Drosophila melanogaster: one gene and its partners. Changing the gene in region 3 together with the main gene of any one other region gives a genetic interaction. Each region holds a gene or a part of one and is shown on either strand. Other genes may lie near its edges. The genes, in order: beat-Ia, sax and frac.

Region 1 (5,042 bases), on a different chromosome or scaffold from region 3:
TATCGCGGCGTTTGGAGCTCGCAAGAAGCTGCTGACGGCCATTCACACGCTGCTGGCCAACGAGGCGGCCTGCAGCACAATGCCCAGCAGCAGCTCCTCGCAGAACTCCTCGTCGCCGCGATTCTCCGGAAGTGCGGCCCCAGGCGCAGAGCGCCGTCCCTCCAACCAGTGGTGATCCGCTCCTGTCGTTCGACCCCATTGCCTCGAATTCTTTTTTTCTTTTTTTTTTTGCATGCCCATTTATTTGGTAGTCGTAAGATCAAGAGAATCGGAACGGTAAAAAGTATAGGAAGAAGTCAGGAAGAAAATGGCAACTCCCTGGGCGAATAGCTTTCCCGCACAACACAGCCTTGACCTTGACTTATACTCGCATTTGTACTCAAATTCCAAGTAGCATAGCTGCGCTCGGGAAAGTGCACAGTTTTCCCAGTGTGCCAATAGGTCGTAGTTGCCTTTATTTTAAGCGATTAATTTATTTTGAAATTATTTATATAGGAAACCGTCTTAAGCAAAAAAAAAAAATATTGTGAATTATTTATGAAATCTAACTAAACGAAATCACTTGTTGTAAGAAATGAATTTATGTAAACTAACTGAAAAAGAAAAAAAAATTAAAAACAAAAGCACAGCATGTATTAAGTGATAAGCAAAATAGTCACGCACAAACATTTGATATGAATAAATTGATGTCTATGAAAAATCAACTAAATATATTTTTTAGTAGATTATTAGATTAATATGATTTGCTTAATTTTGTAGAAACATTTGTAATATATGTACATTAAGTCGTTGCCGCTTTGAACTCTTTTAGCCTGGTTGGAATAGAGGTTAATGACTTTATTGTCTCCAGTTGTCTGCATAATTTGTATTGCCTCGCCTCGTGCCAAGAAGTCTTGCAAAGCAACAAAATCGAATGTGTGTCCTTACACGAACTAAACGGGCGGCAAAAGGGGCGTGGCTGAGCTAATGAACTGGAAATGTTTTGCTCCAGTTGCCGGTGGTTGCTACCGTGTTGCATCAGCATAATTGCAAATTTTTATGATTATGACACTTTGGGCGCAAAGTGCCTTTGCCAATGGCAACTAATTTCTGCAGCCATCTCAGTCCCAGTCTGGTGGTCATCTACATGGGGCTATGCTCCACTTAAGTACTTCGAGTGGGCTTTTGCGGGACATTTTGGCAAGCGGCTTGATTTACAATTATGCTGGATTTGAATTTGGATCCCAAGTGGAGTCACTGACCAGCCCGAGAGTCGCCAGTTTCGGCCTCCATTCGTCAATGCTGGTCCCATTTTAAGTAGAGGAAGTGTTGTGTAATGGGAGGACATAGTTAAGTGGCCATAAGTATAATTTGAGTATGTGTTTCCTCGGCCTTTCAAAAACAGTAGGAAAATATATATATTTTTATAAATTTCTTTCGAAAGAAGTTGAAAATTGAATTAACCACGTTAAATTTACTTTCCATATACTTTTTCCGTACACTCAGACAGGAAGAAGTATTTCTAAAATATATGCTTATTTAAGCATACTTACCTTCCGAAGTCTTGTAATTAAACTCTAACATGTATTTAAAAAATTTAAAGTAAATTTAAAATTTAAAAATTTATTAAATTTAAAAATAATGTTACAATTGGTTTTTTTATATTGTACACAGTAAGTTGCCGTTTAAAGTGGCAGTCGTGGTGAGTACAATCAAGCAGTCAAAACGAAGCAGTTCTCTTAGGCAAAGCAGTGGGAAGGGGAAATCAAGCAGTGGAAGGGGAACCAAGCAGAGTTAGCAATAGAAGCATTTATGGATAAGAAACCCACCACACGGGTGCTCTCTCTCTCTCTCTCCTCGCTTTTCCATTCGTGATTTTCCGATGAAGGACGTCGGATTCTCCGAACCATCTTCGTTGGCCATTCGCCAATTGGGAAATCTGTGCACAGGACTCGCAGTGTCGCGAATCCTTCGACTCCTGCTGCAGTTTACATTGCGTTGTCCGTGCGTAAGGACGTGCGTAGATCATCATTTCAATTTTCGCAGTATTACGAGCATCGGAAATAACAGAAAAAATTGTTTAAAAAAAAATGGTTGAACTGCACTGAAACCGCAGGACTGAACCCAATTTTTGCTGTGGCGTGCGTGTGTGCGAGATGCAGTTTTTGTGTTTCTGACATAGCATTTACCAAAACAGAAGGCGGAAAATAGGGAAAAGGATCCGACGAAGGATCTGCGATAGTCCCAAACTGTGTGTGTGTGGGTAAGGCTGTTGCTTCGTCGCCACCAGTGCATGTGTGTGTGTGAGTGCGAGTGTGTTTGTGCAGTCACGTGTTCTAAGGTGATTTTAACGAGCTCCGTGATACGCGAAATGAGATAAGGAACGAGGAAGCAGCAGAATCGGGAGGAGTGAACGGCTTAGGCGGGCACAAAAAGGAGCAACAAGAAGCCACGCAGCCAAAGCCAACAACCAAATCCCCATTCGCCAGGACAGGATACTTGCTCGGTGCGCCTTAAAGGATTCTCTGATAAATCAACCGAAAATTGCATAAAATAAAATTGTTTGCCAAATTGTGCGCAGCGAGAGAACCAAAAAGCAAAAAAAACAAAACCTTATACTCACATGTGAAATATGACTAGCCAGTTGCATTGAAAGTACAAGAAAATAATAAGAGAGAAAATTTACCCAAATAACCTGAAGGTAGGAATACATTATAATCTCTTTGACACAAATTGATGCTTTGGGATATGATGTCAGGAAGGGTATTGGGATATGATTACGAATATTTAGACTCGTATACTAGAAACGCACAAGAGCGTATGTTATTTAAAAGAAAAACAGTTTTTTAACATTTGAAATTTGAAAAACTAATATTTTAATTTTGCTTCACAACAGAGTTGTAGAAAAATAGTTGATAAAGTTTATAATTGAGAATATTATTTGCAAGGGAATGCAAATAACGTTTGAGTAACAGCTCATAAGCCAGTTCAGCGAAAGCATCAACCTTTCACGAACTTTGAAGCATCCTCTGCGCTTCTGTAATTTCATATATCGCAATCTGCGACGTTTAATTTTGATGCACCATGTCCCTGCTCCTGGCAAGGCAATTTGAGGATTCCGGGGGTTTCCTTTCACATCCCAGCCAGCGGAAGATAAGCCGGAAGATGTACAGAAGGGCGTGCCCGTCTCATCCAACAGGCAAACAAAACTTGTCAATTGCCAGGGAGCGTGTCTCCGGGACCTCGGGCTCATCCTTTTTTGGTAAACATTTCCCATAGTTGCTGGGGAACTAGGCAACAATGTCTTGAGCTCAGTCCTAGCTGCTTCGATTTGCCCATTTTTTGTTGATGGAAAATGTCAACTGCCTGGCAGAGTTTTCATCCTCACTTTCGAGCAACCCACTGACTAGGCAAAAATTGTATTTAGTGGGACAATCAATATCGGATGAGGGAGGGGCAGTCAGTTGGGCGGCAGTCAAACATTTATTTGATTGACTGATTGATATGTGAAATGATTTATTGCCGCCGGAGGAGGAGGAGGAGGAGGAGGAGGAAGAGGAAAAGGCGAAGGCGAAGGACGAAGAAAAGTGCTGGCAAGTGTCCACAAACAGCTGAGTCGGAAAAGTTCCGAAACAAAACGAGAAAACCTTTAACCAGCCGAGCAGGAACATTTATTTCCCAGTCTATCTCTGCAGTTTTCCATATCCTGCTCTGTTTTTGCAGTGGAATTTCCACAGCTCTGTAAAAATGGCTCGGACCAAACTTTTTCGCACGCTTTATGGGAGAATAAAGTAAATAATGAAAGCTATTTAGCACAGCCAAGGGGCACATTAAGTCGTCGCCAGCCTTTTCGGATTATCCTGCGACCGGCTTAAAAATAACAATAGGACCAAGCAAACAGATGCACACTGTAAAAAAATAAACTCCGGCAGGATTTTTGAGTTAAAAATAAATAAATCTGTTAAAAGGAGTTATTACACATTTTGACTAACTCTCCTAAAAGTAAAGTGCTTATTTAATGAGAAGGAATATAAAAGGCGTATAAACTTTATGTCATACTTTTCCAGAAATCTACGAAACTTTTGTCATAAGTCATTATTAAAGGGAAATATAAAAATTTTCCGAATTATTTTACTAGCTTATTTTCATCTAGTTTGTCACCCATTACCAAAGTTACAGTATAATGAGCTCCCTTTTGGATTCGTATTATTTTACATGCATAAGCTTAAAAATTTGGCTAACCCAGAGATTATGAATTCCAACCAAAATCAAATCCTTTGAAATAGCACAATGTGTTCACCGAACTTCCTGGCGCTTAGTTCAAATTTTGAATATTGTCATAGATTTTATTCAAATAAAACGGACAGCATAATATTGGCATTGATAAATGGTGTGACAGCTCTTCGTATTATATTTTGGCCGTGTAATATCCGTCGAGAGAGGTAAACTGTGGCCGGCGTTTAATGAGCTGTGTCCTGATCTGAGCCTCGGATGACCGGCGGCTCCTTTCGCCAGTTCGCTGTTGAGCTGGAGAAATTTCAGCCATTTTTTACTGCCACCTGCAACGGTGTCGCATTCTTCTCTCGACCAGGTATTTCTCTTATAGCCTGGATCTTTTATTTTCGTTCTTTTTTAACTATTTGGTGGCGCTGCAAGTGCTGTGGCTTATGAAAAAGAACGCTGAGCGGAGGCACTCCGAAATTCGGGCGAAAATGCGAAAAAGAGGAACCTAACTAGGCGTGGGTGTTAATTAGTTTTTCGGCAAGTGCCCCGAAATTCTGTTTTCTTATTAGTTTTCACTTATTTGTTTAAGCTGATTATGTGCGTGTATACTCAACCAATGAGTTGTGCTAATCCTAAAGGAATTTGCTCGCAAATTTATGGCTTCGTTATCCCACTTGAGCTTTGATCTACAAAAGCTGGTTAAATGGCCAAGGATTTATTCAATTAGTATTGGCATAACTGAATTAGTCTTGGTTTCTGCCTTGCATTTAATATTTATTGCATAAATAGATGTTTATCCAATCATGCCCCGATTTTATTTATTAGTTTTCTGTTAACAA
Region 2 (6,129 bases), on a different chromosome or scaffold from region 3:
TCGCCATCTAGAGCGGTCTTGATCACGAATCCCGGCTTCGGGTGGATGAACCTCACCTCCACGCCACGCTCCTTCTCCAGCTGCGTGATCTCTGACTCGTAGATCTTGCGGTTCTCAGGATCCTGGATCTCATCCACGTAGTCGAAGAAGAGCTTGCGGAACTCCTCCTTGCCAAAGGCCTCCTGGAATCGGTTGAACTCGTCCCTGCTTATATCGAGCCGCTCATCGTCACAAAGTTTGGATTGTTTATTACGCGATCTAGATGCGGACATAGCTTTCTCGCAGGCACACTTCACTCACGGAGGGATCTCTTCGGTCTCCTCTTCTCTCCTCGGCACTTTTACTACACAAATACAAATTTTCTTATCACTTCGACGGGTTTTGATTTTTTGTTTGTTTCTATTTGTTAGGGGTTGCTCAGTTTTGGGCCACGTTTCCTTGGCAAATGCGTTGGGTTTCTATTTCTGGAAGGTTCTGAAAGTACAAATAAACATAGATGTAAGTACGGACAATCTTGTAAGATAATCAGCTATCTTATATTACGAATGTATAACTGCAATAACAACAAGACAAGTCGTTTGGGAAAAATTACTAGTTTTTCTGTTTCGGCTATACATATGTAAGTTCTATGTATACCTGGCTATTTTATAGTTTTGCAAATAAACCTTGAGGGCATGACTAAATCTTGCGGAACCTGGCGAAACTCTGGAAACTTTCCAATCGAATCTGAGATAAGCCAAGTAAGTACCAGGTCCCAAGGTTGCCCTAGGTCCTGACCATTTCGCAGCCAAAAAAAAACACCGAGCTGGCATTTAATCAAATTCTAATCAGCAGATAGGCAAATAAATATTAAATCAATGACGCAGAAAGGTCGCTGTCGAAAATCACCGGCTATCCGCCGGATTTACGGGCATTATGTAAGTAGATACACATGTGTGTAGATGACTACAAACTGACCACGAGTTTTTTTTTTACTTGTCGGCCAATAAATAAATAAACGAACTGCGTAGTTTGTGAAATTCTAGGAGAACGCGTAAATGTTTTCTGTTTTTTTTTTCGAGTTTTGGTGCGATGCTTTCCCGACGAGCGTTTTTATGAGAATGGGAGCGCTACGCCCGAAACGCCGGCAAATATTGGAGGCTCTTTGCGAGTCGAGCGGCCCACAGAGAGAGCGTCCTCTGCGCAGTGAGGGGCTTTTGATAAGCGCGAAAAAAACCACTTGCCCCAATTGTTTTTGTTTAGCGGGATTCTGCCCCCGCAGCCCCTGCGCTCACACACACATTATGCGATTTCTGGCGCAACCCAACTAATTGTACAATAAACGACCACATCTCTACACACATATGTATGTATATACAAAGATAATGTTTGTATTGCGTCTGCCAACTGATATTACAAACTTATGTACATACATATATGTGCAGGAGGGCGGGGGTGGTAATTGGGGGGTCAGTAAGATGATTCCCTACGGCGTGTGTATCTTCTCCATTGCAAGGAAAACGAGGAAAATTATAACAGTTACGTGACTAAAAACACATGTTTGCGCTGTGGGAGGGGGAAAACTCTGTCGTTTGATCGATACTAGCTGAAACCCATTGATTTTCTGGACAAACCGGTCGCAGTGGACATGAAAACCCTAACTAAGCAAATGTTTTGTTATATTCCATGACACCGGGTAGGTAAATCCGTTAATTTCACTCAGGAAAACAACTTAATGGCACGAAAACTCCTCCACTGAAGATCTCCTGCTTCTCCACTTACCTAAATTGAACACAATTATGCTTTGTGAACACAACGGCACTGAATAAAATAATTGTCTGTTAAATGGGCTCCTTTGCCAAAGACTCTTTGATGGGAGTTCGAGTTTGACGTTCTAGAAACTTTTCCGCTGACCGGCTGCTCGTGTTGGTGTGCGTGTTGTGCTTTGGTATTTTTACGCAGGGGATTTGGGAAATTTGAAGACCCGGTATTTTATGTGAAATATGTTATGTGCAGATGTGGGCCCTGGTCACACTGCCCGCTAGAAGTATATCGATAGGTTCCGATAGGCTCGGACAAATAACATTTCTAGCAATGGAGTCCAATATATATTTAGTTTTTCTATTGACGTTTCTGCTGTACAATAATGCCAGAGGTGGGCATCAATTAGTGTTAATCAATTACCAAGTGCTTGGTGAAGAGAGTGCGCAAGAGAAATTTCGATTTTATGGGGTTTTAGAGCCACATATAATGCCTTGAAAAGTCACTGAGTGTTTTGGGTTTGTTTTCATATGCTGCGGTTCTGGCCAATTGCGTTGCGTATTTGGCCAGGCCAAGGCGAAAAAAGTGCCCTCGGAATGCTGATTGGTGAAAGAAGCACCTGATGGATCCCACAGAATGTATTATATAAACGGATGTCGTGGGCGTTTGCAGCATAAGTGCATTTTCTCAATGATTTACCCACGCACACCACCGTTCTGTGTGTGTATACAGAACTTGCTGGGGCGCCTGTGTGCATGTGTGTGTGTGTGTTAGTGCTGGTGGCGTTTGTGTTGGTTGGGCCGTCCATGTGTGTACATATGTATATGCTATGTGCATATGGTTTAATGTGCATTTGTTATGTTTCAGCCGAAATCAGCGATCATCTGCGGGAGGACATACCGGACTTAGACATGGAGCTCTCCTCCGCCTCATCCGCCCATCTCAATGGCAAGGAGCTACCGGCCGTGCCACAGAACTCGGTGCAGACGCATCCCAGGTGATTATATCTTAAGTCTTGAGCCCATAGCTTGTAGCTCCCGCTTCCGCCCAAAGGCTTTGTATTGCTAATCTCATTTCCCTCCTAATTGCCATGCTGCTAATCCTTAATTAGGAGACACATTAAGAGTAAGCGCCGCATGAAGAGAAGGTAAAACCTACACGACTCATGAACTAAAACATCATAAACTGGTTAACTTTTAGTTAAAATTTTGAAAATATTCATAATTTTACTTAAAAAACCCCATTTTTTTTAAATATTTTATAGTATATTATACTTTTATACCCAAATGTTAACAATTAAAAGCTGCCCGTTTGCGTAACCGATTCTTCTTCAATCTTATTAAACTCTCTCTTTTTTTTATCAGATACAAATGCTACTCCTGCGAGCCGCCCTGTCGGGATCCCTATGAGTTTACCCACACCTGCCAGAATGCGATTCAGGTGAATACTCCACCTTAAACTTGATTAAAACTTAAATGTAACTTAATTTCCGAACTTCAACAGTGCTGGAAGTCGCGCACACGCGATGCCGATGGTCAGGTGCAGGAGTCACGCGGCTGCAGCACCTCGCCGGATCAACTGCCCATGATCTGCAGCCAGAACTCCTTGAAGATCAACGGGCCCAGTAAACGCAATACGGGGAAGTTCGTGAATGTGGTCTGCTGTGCCGGTGATTACTGCAATGAGGGAGACTTTCCGGAACTGCTGCCCTTCGACAGCAATGATGTGACGGTGATAACCGCGGATACCAGTAGCATAAGCAAGATGCTCGTCGCCGTTCTGGGTCCTTTTCTGGTCATCGCTCTGCTGGGCGCCGTGACCATCTTCTTCATTCGTCGTAGCCATCGCAAGCGTCTGGCTGCCTCGCGAACCAAACAGGACCCGGAAGCGTATCTGGTCAATGATGAGCTGCTCCGCGCCACCAGCGCCGGGGACAGTACGCTGAGGGAGTATCTGCAGCACTCGGTGACCTCCGGCTCGGGCAGCGGATTGCCGCTGCTAGTGCAGCGTACGCTAGCCAAACAGGTCACCCTGATCGAGTGCATTGGACGAGGCAAATACGGCGAGGTTTGGCGCGGTCACTGGCATGGCGAAAGCATCGCCGTGAAGATATTCTTCAGTCGCGACGAGGAGTCCTGGAAGCGGGAGACAGAGATATATAGGTGAGCAACAGATTATTTGTGACTCTGTAATTTGTAGCTGTAGAAATTTTTAACTGTTTCCCCAGAAGAAAAGTGCCCTAGTCCAGTCATGACTACCTACCTGTTGCTCTATGAATCATAAATAATCGTTCTTTGTTTTTCAGCACCATATTGCTACGACATGAAAATATTCTGGGATTCATCGGCTCTGACATGACGTCGCGGAACTCGTGCACCCAACTTTGGCTGATGACGCACTACTATCCACTGGGCTCGCTCTTTGATCACCTAAACCGTAACGCCCTAAGCCACAACGATATGGTATGGATTTGCCTGTCCATAGCTAATGGGCTGGTACACTTGCACACAGAGATATTCGGCAAGCAAGGCAAGCCAGCTATGGCCCACCGCGATTTGAAGTCAAAGAATATACTGGTCACCTCGAACGGCTCCTGCGTGATAGCCGATTTTGGACTGGCCGTTACCCATTCGCACGTCACAGGACAACTGGACCTGGGCAACAACCCCAAAGTGGGCACCAAGCGCTACATGGCCCCAGAGGTTCTTGATGAAAGGTGTGTGCTTATTGGCAGTACAAAAAAGAATATTTTTACATTAACAATTTGTCTATTGTAGCATTGATTTAGAATGCTTCGAAGCACTACGCCGGACAGATATTTACGCATTTGGACTTGTCCTCTGGGAGGTTTGTCGCCGCACCATTTCTTGCGGCATAGCAGAGGAGTACAAGGTGCCCTTCTACGATGTGGTGCCAATGGATCCCAGCTTCGAGGATATGCGCAAGGTGGTCTGCATCGACAACTACAGGCCCTCCATTCCCAATCGCTGGAGCTCGGATTCGGTAAGTCGCTTTCGATTGCCATTCTCTAGATCTTTGATCTCATTGTTGTTCTCATTTTTTAGTTAATGACTGGCATGTCCAAGCTCATGAAGGAGTGCTGGCACCAAAACCCCGACGTGCGCTTGCCAGCGCTGCGCATCAAAAAGACTATACATAAGCTGGCTTCCGCTGACGAGAAGATACGCCTGGACTTCGACGAGGTCTGCGTTTAGTGGTAGTAGTCGAGCCTTAGCTGTAAGCGGTAATTTAGTTGTACCACATAGGTAGTCTAAGATTCATTCATTGACATACCCTGCATTTCACACTATTAGTTCGTAGGTATATTATTCAAAGCTAAGCCAAGATCCTGCGTGTTGAAGCAAACTAATCCAAGTACAAGACCCTTGGGAGCTTATAGTTATATAGAAGACTTTAACATATTTACTTTATGTTTGGATTGACTTTATCGTTTCCGTTCCACCGTGAGCCTAGCCTGAAAAGGGTGCCTTTGAAATTGCCTTAAGTTAAAGTTAGCATCGACTCTAATGTATGTTCTTGGGATATCATCCTGTAAAGTTGTCATTTCACTATTTACCATTATTCATTGTTCATCAAGTGCCATTTGCAATTGAGAATTGTAAACGCCTTAACTTTAAGCTCACTCTTTGAACTTTACACTAAATTCATAACTCTAGAACTTGTCCATGCTATGATAAAACCATAAGCCACACCACCAACTGACTTGCTATCTTAGTTAGTTAAGCCTTTAGGACTTAGATACCCACGCATAGAAGCATACACACCTACTTGTATATTGTACAAATGGCAAGCTATTTAAGTTTTGTATAGTCTAAACGAAATGAAATACACGAATAGGCATTAAACTTTGGGATAACTGGGTTTATTTGCTCGGTTAATGTCAATTGTCTGGCGTCAGTACCCGGAAGCTATCGTCGTTTTCTTCGTCTAGGAAGAGCAGACGGAAGATGTCGTTGAAGAAGTCGGGATAGTAGTCGCATGCGCGTTTGCAGTCCGGAGTCCAGTTGATTTCCAGCAACTGGGGCTCCATCAACTTCTCCTTATCGTCCTTCCACCGCAGCATGATGTCGGCTGCGTAAAGAGCTCGTGATTGGGCACAAGGAGCCAGGCCGCAGGGTGGATCTGCTTGACTGGCGCACTGAAGCACCTCGAGCAGCATGCTACAGATCTGCTGCTCCAGAGCCGACCAATCGTTATCCGGATACTGTTCCTGCCAGAGCGTCAGGAAGTCGTCGCACTTGACGTGATGCAGCTGCGCCTCCGTCTGGTAGTTCATCACCGTGTAGTGTTTCTCGTAGTCATCGAAGTGATCCAGCGTGAAGGGATGGTTTGCGAAACGCAGGAAGAACTTCCGGTGTATATATGCCT
Region 3 (7,702 bases):
AAATCCACCCGTGTGTTTTCACTAGAAGCAGGAGCAGCACTTATAAGCTTGGATGACTCGTGGAAAAGGGGCTCCAGCCTGAAGAAGGAAGATGACCCAAGTTTCGAGTGCTCTGATGACTCAGAATCTGGGAAAACTTGGAATTTGGTAAAGGAAACTGGTTTTGGAGTTGCATCCAGGGCTTTGAATGCAGGAAATGAGAATGAACTACCAGTGGACAAAGTCGCAAATGGAGCCGGTCTGGGAAGTGATGATCTTGAATAATCAGATATTCGAAACAAAGTAAATGGATTTGATTCTCTAGGTGTTGCAGCCTTAACAGTAATTATTGTGTGACATTTAATTGTGAGCTTGGTCTCCGGATCGTTAACTCTAAAGTCAACCTTATGGACTCCAGCTGGCAGATGACCCTGAAGTTGACCAGCCCAAGCGGGATGGGCGACCAATCGGCCATTCTTAACATTAGTTTGGGGTCTTTGAAGAGTCACATGAGCCTTCTGCTCACCGGCATGCAGTAGGATTACAACATTTTCCGGGCAATTGATATAGGGCCTAATCTGTTCCACATTCTGGATTTGATGAGGAGTCACTGTTTTCGGAGAATTCCACATCGGGGATAATTGATTTCCAAGCAAACCGTTTCCGAATGGCTGACAGTTGAGATCTGCACCGAACGACCAGCCCTGCAGCATCATGCAGGCGGTCAACAAGGATCCGGTGGACACGAAGCCAGCATTGCACTGAAGACGGCAAACGTCACCAAATCGAGATGGACCCTGAGTGCAGCTAGCTGGGAGTATAACTCCATTTTGGGCGGGCTTTAGAGCGGGGCAGATTCCAGGACTCTGTGCACGAGGTTGGTTGATGGCTGCGAAAAGGTACGGAAGAGGTACGGAATGCCAACTGTATAATCTATTACTTAACTTAATGACTCACCAACACACTTGGTTTCGGGCCCCTCCCAAATTCCATTGGCGTCACAGCTTTTGATCTCAGGACCCTGAAGAATATAGCCCGAATTGCATGAAATTCGGCAGCGACTGTAGTAGAAGAGCTTCTGCTTATGGCGATACCTATTGCAGTGGGACTTGCCATTTCGTGGTGCCTGAAATCGAGGGCACAGATCCCTGGGTTGCAACTGATTAACCCACAGACTTTTAGGCACTTCAGGACGCAGGGGAACGGGTGCTTTCGATGTAGGTATGTCAGCAAGGGGCGGAAGCTTTGGAAGACCTTCCCACTTAGGCAAAGATGGAAACTTGGGCTCTGGGTAATCGAACTCAGCTGGTTTCTTGGGATTCTCGGGTATTTCATTGGACAGCTCGGTGAAATCAGGATACTTTGGCGTCTTCAATTCAATTTTGGGCGATTCAGGCAGTGACGAAGCTGTGGGAATCTCCGGCAGAACGGGGAACTTGGGAAACTCGCAGCGGAAGCCTCCAATCTCGTTTATACAGGTTCCAGTGATACAACTAGTCTTGTCTTGGTCACACTCATCGATGTCCTGGCAAGTCTTTTGATCACTATCTAGTTCATAGCCCGGTGGACAGCTGCACTTGAATGAACCCTCGGTATTGGAGCAGCGATGCGAGCAGCCACCGTTCTGCTTCTGGCACTCATCGATGTCCACACACTTGTCGTCCGATCCCAGGGTATAACCCGGATTGCATTCAATTGGAGCACATCCATCCGCGGATCGCTGAGTTCCCGGTGGACAACCCACCAGAGCGGGACTACAGCTACGACCATCGTCGTTGAGTATGTAACCCAAGGGACATCCACACTCAAAGGTACCTGCCTTATTGATGCACTCGTGGCTGCAACCACCGGAAAGAAGGCCGGCACACTCATCCACATCCAGGCAACTTAGCTTGTCCTTGGCCAGCTCATAGCCCCTTTCGCAGGCACAGGCATGGGTACCTAAAAGATTGATGCAGATGTCGCTACAGTTTCCATAGTCCTGCGAGCACTCATCAATGTCGGCGCAACCGAATCCATCTGGAGTTAGCTCGAAACCCGTTTCACAAGCGCAGGCAAATCCCCCAGGTTGATTCAAGCAGAGCTGCGAGCATTGGCCATTGCTATCGAGGCACTCATCAATGTCCTGACAGGTGCGCATATCCTCGGATAGGGCATAGCCCAAGGGACAGGCGCACTGAAAGCCACCAGGCTCGTTCTGGCAAAAGTGGGAGCAATTCCCATTGGCCAGAGAGCACTCATCAATGTCCAAGCATGTATGCGCTGATGGGGTTTCGGATGAGGTTGAATCAGTAATGAATGAGCTGTTTAGTGATGTGACTATGTGGTTATCCAAGCCAAGGGCATATCCCGGTGGACAGAGGCAGGTGTACGAACCATTGAGGTTCTCGCAAAGCATTTGATCACTGCACCCATGAGTTCTCTGCGAGCACTCGTCGATGTCGAAGCAATAGCCGCGTATGCCATCAAGCTTGAGGAGCTCATAGCCGGCGGCACATATACACCCATACGAACCTGGAAGATTTCGGCACACCTGCTGGCAGCCACCGTTATTTACCAGACACTCATCCACGTCCTCGCAACTCTTGCCATCGGCACTTAATCGAAATCCCTCGCGACAGGCGCAAACTCCTCCTCGGGCAGTCAGGCAGATCTGTTCGCATCCGTTGTTGTTCACCTCGCAGAGATTCTCGGCCAAACAGGTGTACTCCTCGACCAGGTTGAGTCCTTCGGGACACTGGCACTGATAACCACCGGGTGTATTCTGGCAAGTGTGACTGCAAAGGTGTGTATCCTCTGCGCACTCATCAATGTCCTGGCAACTGAATGCCTCACTGCGGTAGCCCGTTGGGCAAATGCAACTGAAGCTGGTATTATCCTCACTGGCTAGACAGGTTCCCGGGGAGCACTTTTCAACTCCCTTTTCTGTGGAGCATGGAGATTCTTGCACCAAACAGGAATGCTGATCCTCTGATAGTTCATAACCCTTGGGACACACGCATCGGTAGCTTCCCTCTGGCAAATCCTGGCATTCGTGGGCACATCGAGTGCGATTCAACTGGGGATTCTCCAGATCCGTACAGCTATCCAATGCACAGCTTCGTTGATCTTCGAGCAGGTGGTATCCTTCAACGCAGGTGCAACGGAATGATCCAATAGTGTTCTCGCACTTTTGCTGACAGACTGCGTTATTATCAAGATCCTCAGGACCGTCTACCTCGCACTCATTAATGTCCTGGCAATCAGTGCCGTCGGCGGAAAGTTGAAAGCCAGAATTACATGTTTTTCCGGCGGGTTGTGATTCGGAAACGTTCACTGGGACTTCGTTGGTCTTCTCAATGGGATTCTCCACGACTTCCGTGATCTCGGGATTCTCCTCCAGCGGCTCCACACAGCGATATGAACCTGGCAGATTCTCGCAAGCACCCTGGCAATTCGATGACAGCTCGGGATTCGCACATTCATTAATGTCTGAAAACAAGTATATACCATTTAATGTGAATTTTTTTTCTTTTTAAATATCATTTATTAAAACATACCAACACAACTCTTTCCTGACTCGTCTAAGTAATAACCCTCTTGGCAGCTACATTTATATTCTCCTGGAAGGTTTTCGCAAATTTCCGAACAACCACCATTCGATTCCAGGCATTCGTCGATATCTTCAAAAAGAATAATATTGTCTAGCAAATTCTTTCAATTTAATTATATATAATACACCCACCGAGGCAGCTAGCATAATCGTTAGGATCCAGGGTATAACCCTCTCGACAATCGCACTTATTGATGGGCTGGTTTTCATCTGGATAAAGCAATCGCTTGCAAATGTGCGCACAGCCTCCATTGTCTTCGCCACAATTGTTATCCAAGAATGTTGGCTCATAAGGATCATTGGTGACCTTAACAGATGCATTGCTGGAGTTGAGTACATCAGTTTGGACTTCCGCTTTCAGGGGAGTTTCGTTTTCAAGGACCTCATTTTCAGTTTCAGTCTCCGCTAAAGCAGGTTCTGATTCAACGACTTCATTTGCATGATCATCATTAATTTCGATAACTATTTGTGGTTCAGGCTTGGAATCGGCTCCATCCACTACCGGTGGTGGTGGTGGCGGTGGTGGTTCCCTTTCACTAACCTCTTCATCATCATCCTCATCAATATCACTGTTCTCGACGTAATCGTTGGGCACAGTTTCGTCGGAATAATCTTCCAAATCGTAACCTACTTTCTCGTCGTGTTCTTCAAAATTCAATTGGGGAATGCAGGTGGGTATTTCATCCACCCATTTCTGGTTCGAGCAAAACATTTCTGAGATTCCGTTTTCAAAGTCGTAGTTATCATCGCATACGAAAAAGGCCACTAGGAAGACCTTCTTTCCCCTCCGGCGGCGATCGAAAACGGACACCCTACCATGATTAATCTCCGGCGGAAGGATTTTGGCCGACGAGCAGCTCATGTCCAAAGAAGCAGCCAAGGAGTCAGAAACTTTAGGATCCTCTGGAATATTCATGACATTTTTCCTTTTTCGCTCGGAGCTTGGAGAAGCTAAATGGAAATAGAAATACATTAATTTTTAAGATATAACCAGAAAATTAGCATAAAAGAAACCTGTTGAAATTTATAGGCCTATTTAATAGAAATTCCAGGGATTGGAGACATTAGTTCTAAAAGATTGTGCGATTTTATAACAATAAAGTTGTATGCAGATCAAAAAAAATGAACATGCCCATAACATAAACATAAACGGTTTTCCGTGTTATGCATCCAAAATTATTTAGTGCACTAAAAGATTTCTCACCAGAACTTAAAGGCAATAAAACATTTTATTGTTCGCTCCATACCACAAACAGCTGTTCACAATCACCCAAATATGTTTAAAAAAAAAAGCCCGATTGTATTATCCTAGAATCTTTGCCTTTAAGGGGAATCCCATAAAAACTAGGTGATTCAATCTTTTGAATCGTTGCCAAAAGATATTTCTTTGCCATATAGTCTTCACGGTTTTTTAATTTAATTTGTCATTTTGGGACTTGCTTTGTTTTGATTTACGATCAGTTTTTATATGTTCAGTTTTCATAAAGCCGGCCGGTAATTTGGTGAGTAATATTTCGCTAAAATATATAAGTGCCCCGTGTTAGCCATGACTATTTTGTGTTACACATTTTCCGGAGAACGTGTCATAAAACTATGAATATATGCTCCATTAGCTATAAACCAAACGGTTTTTATGACCATTTTGTGGACATTTTAATGGTCAATATATATACATACATTTCAAAAAAGCAAAATAATCAAAAAAAAAAAATGATTTAATTTAAGGCCTTAAGGCAAATAATTATAATTTCCAATTAAATATTACAATACTCAATAGGTCTGAATTGGAATACATTTTTACATTCTCTATTTAAATCTATTTAAATGATATATTTCGTAATACCCAACCGATTGCCATAATCTAAAGAAGCACAATCCAAACTATAATAATCTTTTACAATCCCCAAAATTCCTTGTAAGCTATCCAATAAATTTCCCATTTCCACAAAATCCGTGAAATATTTTCGATTTCCACCCACACTCACCTGAAGCAAATGCAACGCATGCTAGCGCGCATAAAACATATTTTGCCGCCCACATTCTGCAGCCCTATTTCCGATCCTTATAGAACAGCTGCCACACACCTTTCCACTCTCACTTGTATCGGGTTCTTGGGTTCAAATTTTATAAAAAAGAATACATTAATAAGATTTCACGACATTCGTTTCTTTTTTTTATTTGTTCTCCAACATATTTATGGGAGAAGATCTATATATGTAGCGGCATATAGAGGAGCAAAGCCATTAAGATTAAGGCGGGTTTATAAATAGCACATGTTCAACACTTTTTACATATATTCACAGGTCATTCGTGAAGTAAATGTGTCGGATTTACATCAAACGAAGGCACTTTTTGCAATTAGAGTTCACTGAGAATTTCACTACTTTAATTGATTTAAAACACATAAAAACAGTCTGTATATATACTTCTGTAGTTTAAGGAAAAACCAGGAATAGTATTTTTATTTTGGAAAACGCACCGATTCCGTCGAGAGCCCAGACAAGACTGAGGAGCCAAAGAAATTCTGACTTTTCTCGAAGGGAACGTGAAAACAGTTTTTCGATGTCTCCAAAGATATATATATATATATAAGTTTATGGGTGTATATATGCTGATATTTCATTGATATCATAAAGCAAATTAGTGCGAGAGCGCACAAATGTCACCAGAGGGGGACGCGTAGAGGAAAGCTATTTTTACCCATGGTATTATCATTAGCATTGGGCTGTGATAATTAATGAGGTTCCGTCATCCATTGAACTTGATCGCATTGATCCTTCAGCAGCTGTCAAATGCGGTAGTCTCTAACATAATTTATATTAGCTGGTACTATATAGAATAAATAGTCTGCTCGCTCAGCTACTCTGTAGATTATCACAAATGGTTTTTAATCGTAATTGTAATTGAATACAAAAGGACGTAGTTCGCCTTAAATATAAATAAAGTTTGATACTCGAAGTATTTATATGTCGGACATAATGGATTTACACCCACAACTACCTGTTTCAAATGCAAATACTCATAAAGCATTTTCGGCTCCCACACTCAACAACCGTCTATTCCATCTTTTTCATTTTGACTTTTCTGAATCAAATTTTACTCGTTTATTTACATTTAATATTCTTTTCAACATTTTTATGGAAAGGAAGCTATGTTAAGATGCGTATTAGAGATTAGGGTACCATTAAAAATAACTCATGATTATATTTTTTGATATTCTTTAGTAAATCAAATTGTTTAACTTATAAAAATAACGCGCTTATACAAGGTATGAAATTATTTAAGTATTAAGTATTAGTATTTATTTAAGTATTAAGTACACATAATTTCATAGATTTTTAAAGAGGACCATCAATAAACAAATTGCCCATCTAAGCTCAAGATATTGGCGGAGTGTTAAGAGGTGAAACTTTCGCATGGGGGAGGCCATTACATCACAAGATTGGTCGACTGGGTCTCGAGCACTTTTGCTCTATTGTTGAGCGCATTATTAAGCGCCGCTTAGCTTATGTAATTAATGTCAAGCCAAATGGCAGTGCCAAGAGCCCGAAGTGGAGAGTCTAATGAACCAGCTGCGTGTGCTGATTTATATGCGACTTTTTTAGCTGGTTTGTTTGTACACAAGTATGTTATAGGTCTGTCTATCTGTCCCTCCGTCTGTCTGACTGTTTGTTTGGCCTGGCCAAATTGTGTTTTGTCACCGTCACCATCACGGACGACGTCTCTCGATCGCGCACTTAGGCCTCGTTTATGCGCAGGCTCTGCTCGATACTCCAGTTTCTTGGGCCATGTGAATGTGACATAAGTCGCCGGGTGTACGGCCATGATATATGAATATGACAAAGCGACATGGACAACTTTATTGGCTCATGAAAAGCGCTGTCACTGCTTGACTGACATAAATCGCCGAACGGCAGAAATAGGCATTCAGCGCCACAAGAGCCAATCGATTGCTGCAAAAAAAAAAAAAAAAATTGTCCAAAAAAGTGTTTGGCCAAAATAAATCAAAAATCAATCTTTTCGAAGGGCCCCTCGACGATCATCTCTGTGCGGTGGTGTGGGCCACAGTGAAATCTAGCGCAATCGAGCGATTTGCATAGGACAGAATATGCCGAATCGATTGCATAGTTC

The links.
Region 1: of frac (region 3) and beat-Ia, changing one suppresses a phenotype caused by changing the other (phenotypic suppression), as found in Drosophila melanogaster (one study listed by BioGRID).
Region 2: of frac (region 3) and sax, changing one suppresses a phenotype caused by changing the other (phenotypic suppression), as found in Drosophila melanogaster (one study listed by BioGRID).

The regions. Positions count from the first base shown.
Region 1 is NT_033779.5:16,048,031-16,053,072, forward strand, and holds the start of beat-Ia (beaten path Ia), read left to right. Parts: upstream 1-1,934; 5' UTR 1,935-2,680; intron 2,681-5,042. Other genes in the region: BicC (bicaudal C), read left to right, coding at 1-175.
Region 2 is NT_033778.4:7,804,465-7,810,593, forward strand, and holds sax (saxophone), read left to right. Parts: upstream 1-2,019; 5' UTR 2,020-2,073; coding exon 2,074-2,134; exon of another isoform or gene 2,135-2,548; intron 2,549-2,607; coding exon 2,608-2,737; intron 2,738-2,851; coding exon 2,852-2,887; intron 2,888-3,104; coding exon 3,105-3,180; intron 3,181-3,243; coding exon 3,244-3,902; intron 3,903-4,045; coding exon 4,046-4,456; intron 4,457-4,517; coding exon 4,518-4,743; intron 4,744-4,805; coding exon 4,806-4,955; 3' UTR 4,956-5,603; downstream 5,604-6,129. Other genes in the region: Nop17l (Nop17 like), read right to left, coding at 1-272; TTLL12 (tubulin tyrosine ligase-like 12), read right to left, coding at 5,642-6,129.
Region 3 is NT_037436.4:7,560,988-7,568,689, reverse strand, and holds the start of frac (faulty attraction), read right to left. Parts: upstream 6,081-7,702; 5' UTR 5,998-6,080; exon of another isoform or gene 5,682-5,997; 5' UTR 5,612-5,681; coding exon 5,557-5,611; intron 4,523-5,556; coding exon 3,704-4,522; intron 3,642-3,703; coding exon 3,519-3,641; intron 3,451-3,518; coding exon 937-3,450; intron 869-936; coding exon 1-868.